Drosophila melanogaster: one gene and its partner. The protein of the gene in region 2 interacts with the protein of the main gene of each other region in a pairwise test. Each region holds a gene or a part of one and is shown on either strand. Other genes may lie near its edges. The genes, in order: Arp10 and CG3548.

Region 1 (4,357 bases), on a different chromosome or scaffold from region 2:
TTCATCGGCTTCTTCGTTAAGTTGATACACATCCCCATCAACAATATCATCGTGGGCTCTTAAATGCGCTGAGTGGCAAGGAAACCACCAATCATCCAATCATCCATTATAGCATACATCAGATCAACGTCTTTTTTTTTCGTTTAGTTAACATGCATTATATGTATGGACCATGTGCATTCAGCGAATGCCTTTCTAACAAAATTCTACACAAACGTACGAAAACGTATTGTAATGTTTCGATATTCCATTCATGAACAAGTTAGTTAATAAGATTCAAATGTAAAAAGGAATCACCCGTCTTCATAGCATTTGTTTGGGGTGCGCATCCCCGCTAATAAATGTTAAATTGATTTTCCGTGTACAAATGAGATTCTTTTAACTCTGAGAGACGCAACGTTACATTGCTTGAAGAAAGTAAAGTTGTAAATGAAGCTGATAAACCGACATCATCATTAGAACCAAGAATAAATGTCCAGAAAACGTACAAGCAATATTTTGTTTAAAGCTCGTTAGCCTATATTTCGTAAATATTTAATACCTATATATTACAGAATAATAATCAAGAGTATGTTAGTACGCGTAACCAGTAAAGCGCCGAAGCGTACATATTTCCATCTTCCGGGACTGCCCTCGAGTCTACGAGCCTGTCGGCCTATTATCGCACAGGTTGCTCCAGTCGGGAACGTGCTCGCTCTTTAGATACGTCTCCTTGACCAGCGATCGTGTCTGGATGAGATCCGTCGCGCCGCACAAGGCGCCGCCCAGCCAGGCAGTAAAGTTTTGCTTGCCGACAGCATTGAAAAACTTGAACTGCAGCTCGCCATGGAAGCGTTCGGCGTAGAACGGATCCTCGGTGAGCAGATGCTGCAGCTCCTGGCGGAGGCGGGCCAGCAGACCCTGGACCATTGAGCCGCCGCCCACGAGGAACACACTCTCGACCAGGGCACGTCGCACGTCTAGTGTGCAGTCGAGAATGGAGCGCAGGATGAGATGCGGCAGGCTGTCCCGCTCGTTGCTGGCCTCGAACATGATCTCGTAGGCAGACTCCCGCAGGAGGCCGGGCACCTGGATGACCGCATCGTTGTCGCTGACAATGTAGTCCACGTCTGGCGCGGGAGTCGGCTGATTCTCGTCGCCGTTGGCGCGGGCCTTGGCTCTTTCCATGGTGGTCACAAAGCAGGTTCGCACCTTGATGTCCTCCAGCACGCTTTCTGTTAGCAGGCTCTCCTTAACGCCACTCTCAACCAGCTGCCGCTTGATCTCCGCGTGGATGGCGCTGCCTCCGTAGCTCTGATCCTTGAAGGCGGCCATGATTTGCACCCCGCTGAAGACGGGCATAACGCTGGTCTCGCTGTAGCCAACGTCCACCACAAGGGCAGTGGGCACTGCCAGCGTAGACAGCGCAATGAGATGCACGGGCACGAACAGCACGGAGGAGACGTCGAAGTGGACAAAGAGCACGCGGGCCAAGGTTTCACGCAGCACAGTGGATCCGAACACGTTCTCCACCAGCACGAACTTGCGCTCCTTGGGGCTGACCAGTAGATGCCTAGAAGGAAATTACATTGCAATAGAAACCAAAGCCACCGAGTCACCTACTTGAAGAAGATCGTCTGCAGAAAATCCACTAGCTGGTCGTACAGCTCCTCCGGAGTGTCGTAGTCGAACAGACGCTTCCGGATCCCCGTCGTGGTCATCACCACCTCCGTGGGCATGATCTTGCGCGGATACGCCTCCGCTGCGAATCCCAGCCTGAAAAGGGTGCAGTGATGACTTCATACCACTTTCGCCGAATTATTTGCGTTTGCTTACTTGGTGTAGGCGGTGCCAATGTCGAGGACAATGGGCGGCTTCTCCTGCATCACGCTCTCGTAAATGGGCATCTTGGCTGCTGTCTGCTGGCTGCTTGCTCCTTTGCTGGACGAACCGACTAGACCATGGAATGGTATATTGTTCAGTTCGCTTAATTTTTGGCCAAAACAAGAAGTTATCGGTGTGCGGAAATCATCGATTGACGATGTAGCGAGCAAACACCCTGTTTCCACTAATGGCATCCGTTTTACTGGCACGCTTTTCAAATTTCTGGGTAACTTTAAAACTTTGCCTATTGGTTTGAAATACATTCAATTTGGTATTTTGGTATTTTATGGCTTTTAAAACCCAACAAGATAAAATTTTGAAAGTAGCTCGGAATCATTTGGTGTCAGTCGATTATTCTGCTTTTAAGAGGTCTAACTCTTACGTACAAATAGAATCAACTTTACTTTAGTTTATTGCAGTGTACATACATATGTATGCTTTTCAGTAAGTTTACAAAACTACTTTATCGAATTTAAGAAGTTAATTTCGCGAGTTTGAAGCTAATAATTATAATGATTCTTGTGAAATTAAATTCATATATCTTAAGAACAACTTTTGTTCAATATAATCGCAAAGTCTCCGGGCGCGCTTCGTCACTACATTAACTGCCGTCCACAGTGATGTTTTCTTGCATGGATATCGTCCTGTTTGAAATTATTATATTGCGTATTACTAAAACAAGTCGGTTCCACTTTGAATTTTTAAATTTATTTCAAATTTATCTGCTTTATCTTATTTCGATTTGTGTTTTTGCACGGTCGACCGCTTCGATTTCATTATGTTTTCTTAGTATCCTGGTGTGTTTTTGGGCTATAATTATTATACTGCATAATGCATGATGCATTCGCGGTGCGGGATGTGTGATCATATACAATTTGATGTATTATATAATAATAACTTTTGCCTATCAACTAAACCTAAGCGTAATTTCAGAAATATTCCTTCAAATGATAAATGTGTACAATTATATAAATTACATTATGCCTGCGCATAGGTAACTATACAAAACGAGGAAAGCACAATTCATTAAATAATTAATTAATTAACTATGTATAAAATGGTCTTCTGGCGTCTCTGCGAAGCACCTGGGACCTGGGGCCATAGGACGAGGGCTAAGGATTGCGGATTGACGGTTGTGGGCCGGAGTATTGCTAACTAGCGATTCTAGTAGTTCCTTTGAGCAAACAAGTTTAACAAATTTCGAATAATAAATAACAAAGCAGTAACAAGTCACGAGTCACCATTTTCCTCCAGAAACTGGGGGGGAAACGGTTCGGATCGAAGCGGTTGCGATGCCCGCATGAGACAAATTCAATAAAAAATTGCTTCATTGCGGGTACGCTTAAAATTTAGTTGTTAAAATAAATAAATTAATAACTGTAAGATCTGATTGGGAACTGGGACTGGGACTGGGACACGGACTGGGTCATGGTCTTGGACAAGGGCGAGAAAAAGTGCGAACTCATCGTCTAAGCTAATTTACAGTTACATTCAGTTCAGTCGTCGCTAGTTTGGCAGCTGAGGTGGCCGTGGTCTCGACATGCTCCTGATCCCGGTCCTCGACCAGGACAGAGGTGGTGTCACTGGTGGCGCCGCCTCCGCTGCGACGCCTCCTCCTGCTTCTCCTATCCTGTTCCTGTTCGTTTGTGTATCTCGTTTTCTGCTTCCGCTGCGCTCCGTGTCACTTCTCCGGCCCAAAGAGCCTGGCCAGACTCGCGTTCTGATTGCTATCCATGATGTCAGCCGTGGTGCCCATGGATCCCTTGGCCTTGTGCGACTGCATGGGCGGCAGATTGGCTATCTGCACCTCGTGCCGGAACAACTGGTTCACGCTGCGTCCGACCAGCTGGGCGGTCAGCTTTTTGAAGATGTCCTTCTTGGCGCGATCCACTTTGTTGCCCTTGACGGGCGCCACGGCAATCTTTTCGTCGAACTTTTGAATGTCGGCCGCATTCACGCTGGGGATATGCTGCAGCACTTCGCTGAGAATGGGGAACTGCGGACGGAGCAGCTCGTAGAACTGCACGCCCAGCGTCACCAGGCCCGATTGGTTGGCCTCGTGCTGACCGTGCACCTGCATGCCCTGCAGGACGGCGGTAAAGGCCGTGACGGCCTTGTTCTCGTCCATTAGTTTCTCGGCGGCCAGGAAACGCATCACGGGCGCTGCGATGTTGACAGCCTTCATGCTGCACATGCCGTCGTTCCAGGCGATGGCTTTTAGCAAGGTCATGAGCACATAATTGCCAATGAGTCCGTTGCGCAGCAGCTTGCCGCCCAAGTCGCTTATGATGTCCGAGAGCAGTGCCGACTGGATTGCTCGCGATTGCGGTGCGCTGTCCATCGAGTGCTCCTCATTCTCCATGGCCACAGAATTGCTGTTGGCATTGGCGCCAGCTGCCACATGATCGGCTCCAATTTGGCCGCCCACCAGCGCGATCTTTAGCACGTCCAAATACTCGCGCGTCAGCGTGCGATTGAGCTGATCCTCCAGCAC
Region 2 (4,892 bases):
TTTCAGCTGAAGATCTTTGGTGAAGTATACGGTGAAAAGCCGCACAAAGGACTCCAAGTGTATATGCTTGTCGGAAAAGAAGTCAGGAGGCCTGGAACCTGGTGTATGGGCTATTCTATACACAATGGTCGCAATGAGATCGCGATCCACGATCTCAAACAAGAGCTCCATCAGCGCAGAGAGTTGCTGAATGGTCATGTACTTTGCTCTCGGCCCATTGACCAGCACAAACTTATGGTAGAGCATTACAATGCTAATCAGCTCGTTATGCGAGAAGATCGAGTCCTTTGCCAGGCGAGCAATGTCCTTCATATACACGTAGTTGAAGCGGGCATTCTCCAGAGTGTCCAAGGAGCCGTCCAGGTCCTTCATTTCGATTTATCACAGCTTTCTAAAAGTTCAAGTGGATGAAATATATTGATAGAACCCTTGATTTTTAAATACTAAGCATTTGCAGAGTTGCCCACTTTGATTCCTGTTTCGGGGACTGAGAGATCGGAGAACCCCCCTTTAAACGCACGTCGTTCATCTGTTTATACACTATGTATTTGTATTTCATTATCTAATGGTTTAATCGTACCTTGCTCTCGCCCGATATAGGGTATTAATTAAGCAGAAGCAGGTGACAGGATATTACAGCGCTATACAACACGACGTACAGTAACTTATGCTTAGACGAATTATAAAAGATTCTCGCAATGTATGGACAATGGATACATTGATCTGCAACTACGGCAGCCCAACTGGTGGCAGCACAAGTATAAGTAGTAGTTGTGTAAAAAAAACTTAAAGCTAACAAATGAAGGTATAAAAATAATACAGTGGCCATAGAGAATACTGACTGATGAGTAAATTGCGTTCTGCAAAGGGGAACTTATTCAGAGTCTGTGCATGAGTATTTTCGAGTTTGTTTTTTTTTCGACGACACAACCGCATTTTGAATTGATCTCTTCGCCCGGAGTACTTAACAGATACGGATACAATTATGTAATACTAATTTCTTGAAAATGCAATGCCTGTGAGTTCGTCTCGTGCGAATTGCACAATAAACAACAGTCCATTCGTCCGAGTGGCAACTTGAGTGTGTCGATGAGTATTGTATGCGCGTCCGGCGTTTACGTTTCCGTTTCCGGTTACTCTGGCTGACCGGAAGAGCTACATTTCGCTAAACATATTTCAAGCTAAATTTTAAAGTACTGTTGATGTTTCCTCTAAATGCCTTACACCCTAATTGCTGGCTCTCTTCGTATTGTATATGCATATGGGCCAACAGCCACGCCCCTAGTTGCAGGCGGCATTGAGCGCCAGCGCCCCCTCCGCACTGGTCGATGGCCCGACCTCGTGGACATTGTTGTAGTCCGCTTTGGCATTGCACTTTGCTGAACTCTGATCCTGTATGCTTCCGTTCAGGCCACCGCTCTTCAGCGAGTAGATCCCCAGGCGCGCCTCGTGCTCCCGTCGTTGCTGCCGCAGCCGGATGTCGTGCTCCTCGCGCATGTGCCGCAGCTTGAGGTCCTGCTCCTGCCGGTAGTAGGCCATCTTCACCTCCTGCTCCATCTGCTCGAAGCGCAGCTTCTGCTCGTGTTCCCGCCGGGCGTAGTCGATTTCGGCCAGACGGGCCTGCTTGAGCAGCCTAAACAGGTCCTGCTTGTACTTCTGCTCTATCTCCGTGGCGGCGACCAAATCTAAGGACTGGCTATTTGTGTCTGCAACTGGGGTGGCGCTCGGAGCTGCGTTGGTGGAGGCTTCGTTCTCGTCGGACAGCAGCGACTGGGCCTGTGAGAGCTGGTTAACGATGAGATAGTATTATTAGTAAGAAAGATTAAGATTCCCCTTCACAAAAATTTGCAACTTGTTCAGCTAAACCTTAATTAATAATAATAAATAAACTTGCGGCTTGTGTTCAAACTCACATTCCTTTGTCGCCGCTTTCGTGGTGGGCCTACGCCCTTTTCGTTCTCCTCCCCCGTTTCGCCGGACGTTTCTGTCTTGGCGCCCGAGGGCGACTGCTTGGCCTTGGTCCGCTTGCGTCGCTGGGCTGGCAGCTGGGCGGGATTTCCCTCCTGCTGGGAGTCCCCGTCTCCGCCAGCAGTGGAGGGCGGCGGCGAGGGGATGGCTATTGTGGAGGTCTGCAGCGTGTCCTCGCTGGCGTTCGTAGAGTTGGGCAGAGCGGCCAGCGGCATGTCTTCGTCCTCGTCGATGTCCATGAGCTCCTTCTTAAGAGCGCCGTTTGTGTTCGCGCTGCGTGTCTGACTGCGCGAGGTGACCGGATCCTTCTGCATCTCCTCCAGGAACTCGATCATCCGCATGCCTTCCAGGGCCTCCGTTTTCGGATGCTTCTGCTGGTGCTCCCGCTTGGCGGAGTTCTTCATGCTGCGCCACTGCACCTGGATCTGCTCCAGCAGGCGATGGCGGAAGTTAAGGGCATTGAACCTGGATGGGGGGTTGGAATGGAAGGAGTGAAGGGCCATTATAAGACGAGCTCCACTGCCCAATGGCGCAACTTACTGCTTGGTGATCTGCGACCAGGCCAGACGCTTGGCCTTTATGCTCTTGGCGTCCACGCTCCGGTTCTCCACGAAGGCCACCTTGGACTTGATGACCTCAAGGAGCAGCCCCCTTTCCGCCTCCTCCCAGTTAAGGGAGCGTTTCTTGCGCGTGCCCTTCTTCTTGCCACCCGCGCCTTCCTTCTCGCCAGCATCCTCGGCCGCATCCTCCGCGTTCTCCGCCCCCTCGTCCGCGGTGGCGCTGCTTGACTTCTGCGGCTTCAGCTCCACCTTCTCGTCCTCGTCGTCGTCCTCCGGCGGAGAGGAGGCTCCCTTGGTCAGCAACTCCTCCAGTTTCATTGTTTTTGTTTACACACTGGATTCGCTTTGGCTGGATTCTGATTCGAATGCCCAGGCTTGCAAAAATCCTATTTGATTTCTGTATATACTGGAGCTTAGTGATGTGAGAAGTGCATCGTGCATCGGGCATCGATATATTCGCTGTATCGATGACGTAGCGAATACATCCTCCCTGTTAGCGGAGACGCACACAATAAATTCGCACATAGTATATTTCGGTATATTGGTCGATGAAAATCCCAGCTCTCGCCGCTTTGGTCATACTGTCAGTATCGAAGGAAGTAAGTAGCAGGCGTAATTTTATGTTTCATAAGAATCCGATTTAAGAATATATCTCAACCAAACCAGCGCGATGGCATTCGGTGACTATCCAGCTGAGTACAACCCCAAGGTGCACGGGCCCTACGACCCCGCTCGCTTCTACGGCAAAGGTGAGCAGGTTACGTAATTTTTGCGGCAGGCACAGAGCACATTTGCACTGCCCAAAAATGTGCAGCGTTTTACATAATTTAAACAACTTTCCGACCTCTCCGCTCTCTCCGATCCGCAGCCGATGTGCCCTTCGGCCAGGTCAAGCTGGGCGAGATCGGCGCCTGGCTGGGACGCCGCAACAAGACCCCCAACGCTGTGGCCGGAGCTGTGAGCCGTGCCTGGTGGCGCTGGCAGCACAAGTACGTGTTCCCAAAGCGCGCCGGGATCGCTCCCTTCTTCCAGCTGACCGTCGCCAGCATGACGTTCTTCTATCTGATTAACTACACCAAGTTGAAGCACCACAGGAACTACAAGTACCACTAAGCGGCGCTGCCCGGTGGTCCTGCATCTGCAACAGATTCTACACTTTCCACAAGGCGTGCGAGAGGCGGGCAATCACCACTAAACTATATCTATTTGGCTTTTGTGTTTTGAAAACTGCTTAAGTGAATAAAACGGCTGCGAATATCCATGCTGCCATAGACTCAGACTCGGTCTCTTCCGCACTCGAAGACTGCATTTGGGCCGATGTCCAGCTCGGAACTGGACTGCTCCCAGCCGAAAGTTGACCGGGCCGTGTGGATTTCGCAGATAAAGGGCAGCTCCCGGTCGCAGTTCAGGGTTTGCCAGGTTCCCTGCGGCGTCAAGGCCACGCAGCTGGCGTTGCCCAGATCACCACTGCAAATTCGGTTAGATTTAGAGAAGATAGCATTGGCGGCTAACCTAATAAACTGTCAGCCTACCCAACTCGAGGATGACCACCATCCCAGGCTCTGTAAAGAAAGCACTGCAAGCTCTCCCCTTGGGAGTTCCTGAAGTCCAGTGGGCTCAATGACGTTGAGCTGTTGTAGGCCAAACCCACATAGGCCAGATAGACATTACCTTCTGCCAGAGACTGTGATTTCCTGTTGAATTCCACTAGCCATTGGGCCAATAAACTGGTTCTGTGTTCGGATGCGATGTGGGCCAGACTACCAGTGAACTCCGAGGAGTTTGAACAGGTCAGTGAGGCATTCAAGTAGGCACTAGGCTGAGTATACACCACGAACAGCCCAACCTCCGGTATGCAGCTGTAGTTCCTTACGACTAGCAAGAACCACAAAATTATTCAACCAAACAGATACGCTAGATACTTCATTTAACCTGTTGGCCTTCCATATAAGCTGTAGTAATCGAAGCGACTGTCATTGACCATCCCTGAAAATGTGTTATTCTGAGGACACTTCAGGACGTGGCAGTTGAAGAACTCCCCTGGCTGTTCGAAGACACTCAAACGACTTCGAATGCGCTGCTCCTTGTCGCCCTGCTTGCCAAAGGACCTCTGATCAAATGCATTTAGCCTCCTTTTCGGTCCTCCTGGAGCGTAGTTCAAGGCCAGCCCACGCATATCATGCGCCAGATCAGCACATTCCTTCAGAGAGGATGTGTTTTCCAGGGCCAGAGCTTCATCAGCTGCAGCTCGTTGGCACTGGCGAACCAGGTGGAACTGCAGCGGGTTCAACTTCCCAGTGGGGCAGTTCAAGGAGCCCCTCGACACACCCATCAGGTAGGTAAACACAAGAAACAGGACGGCAG

What was found.
Region 1: the proteins of CG3548 (region 2) and Arp10 interact in a two-hybrid assay, tested with the Drosophila melanogaster proteins (2 studies listed by BioGRID).

The regions. Positions count from the first base shown.
Region 1 is NC_004354.4:19,644,031-19,648,387, forward strand, and holds Arp10 (Actin-related protein 10), read right to left. Parts: upstream 2,147-4,357; 5' UTR 1,887-2,146; coding exon 1,816-1,886; intron 1,756-1,815; coding exon 1,603-1,755; intron 1,553-1,602; coding exon 640-1,552; 3' UTR 501-639; downstream 1-500. Other genes in the region: Sec61gamma (Sec61 gamma subunit), read left to right, coding at 1-63; Ranbp21, read right to left, coding at 3,545-4,357.
Region 2 is NT_033778.4:24,598,002-24,602,893, reverse strand, and holds CG3548 (uncharacterized protein), read right to left. Parts: upstream 2,948-4,892; 5' UTR 2,847-2,947; coding exon 2,509-2,846; intron 2,434-2,508; coding exon 1,914-2,433; intron 1,786-1,913; coding exon 1,282-1,785; 3' UTR 527-1,281; downstream 1-526. Other genes in the region: CG3565 (uncharacterized protein), read right to left, coding at 1-372; ATPsynF (ATP synthase, subunit F), read left to right, coding at 3,199-3,277, 3,397-3,641; CG13587 (uncharacterized protein), read right to left, coding at 3,803-3,995, 4,061-4,403, 4,461-4,892.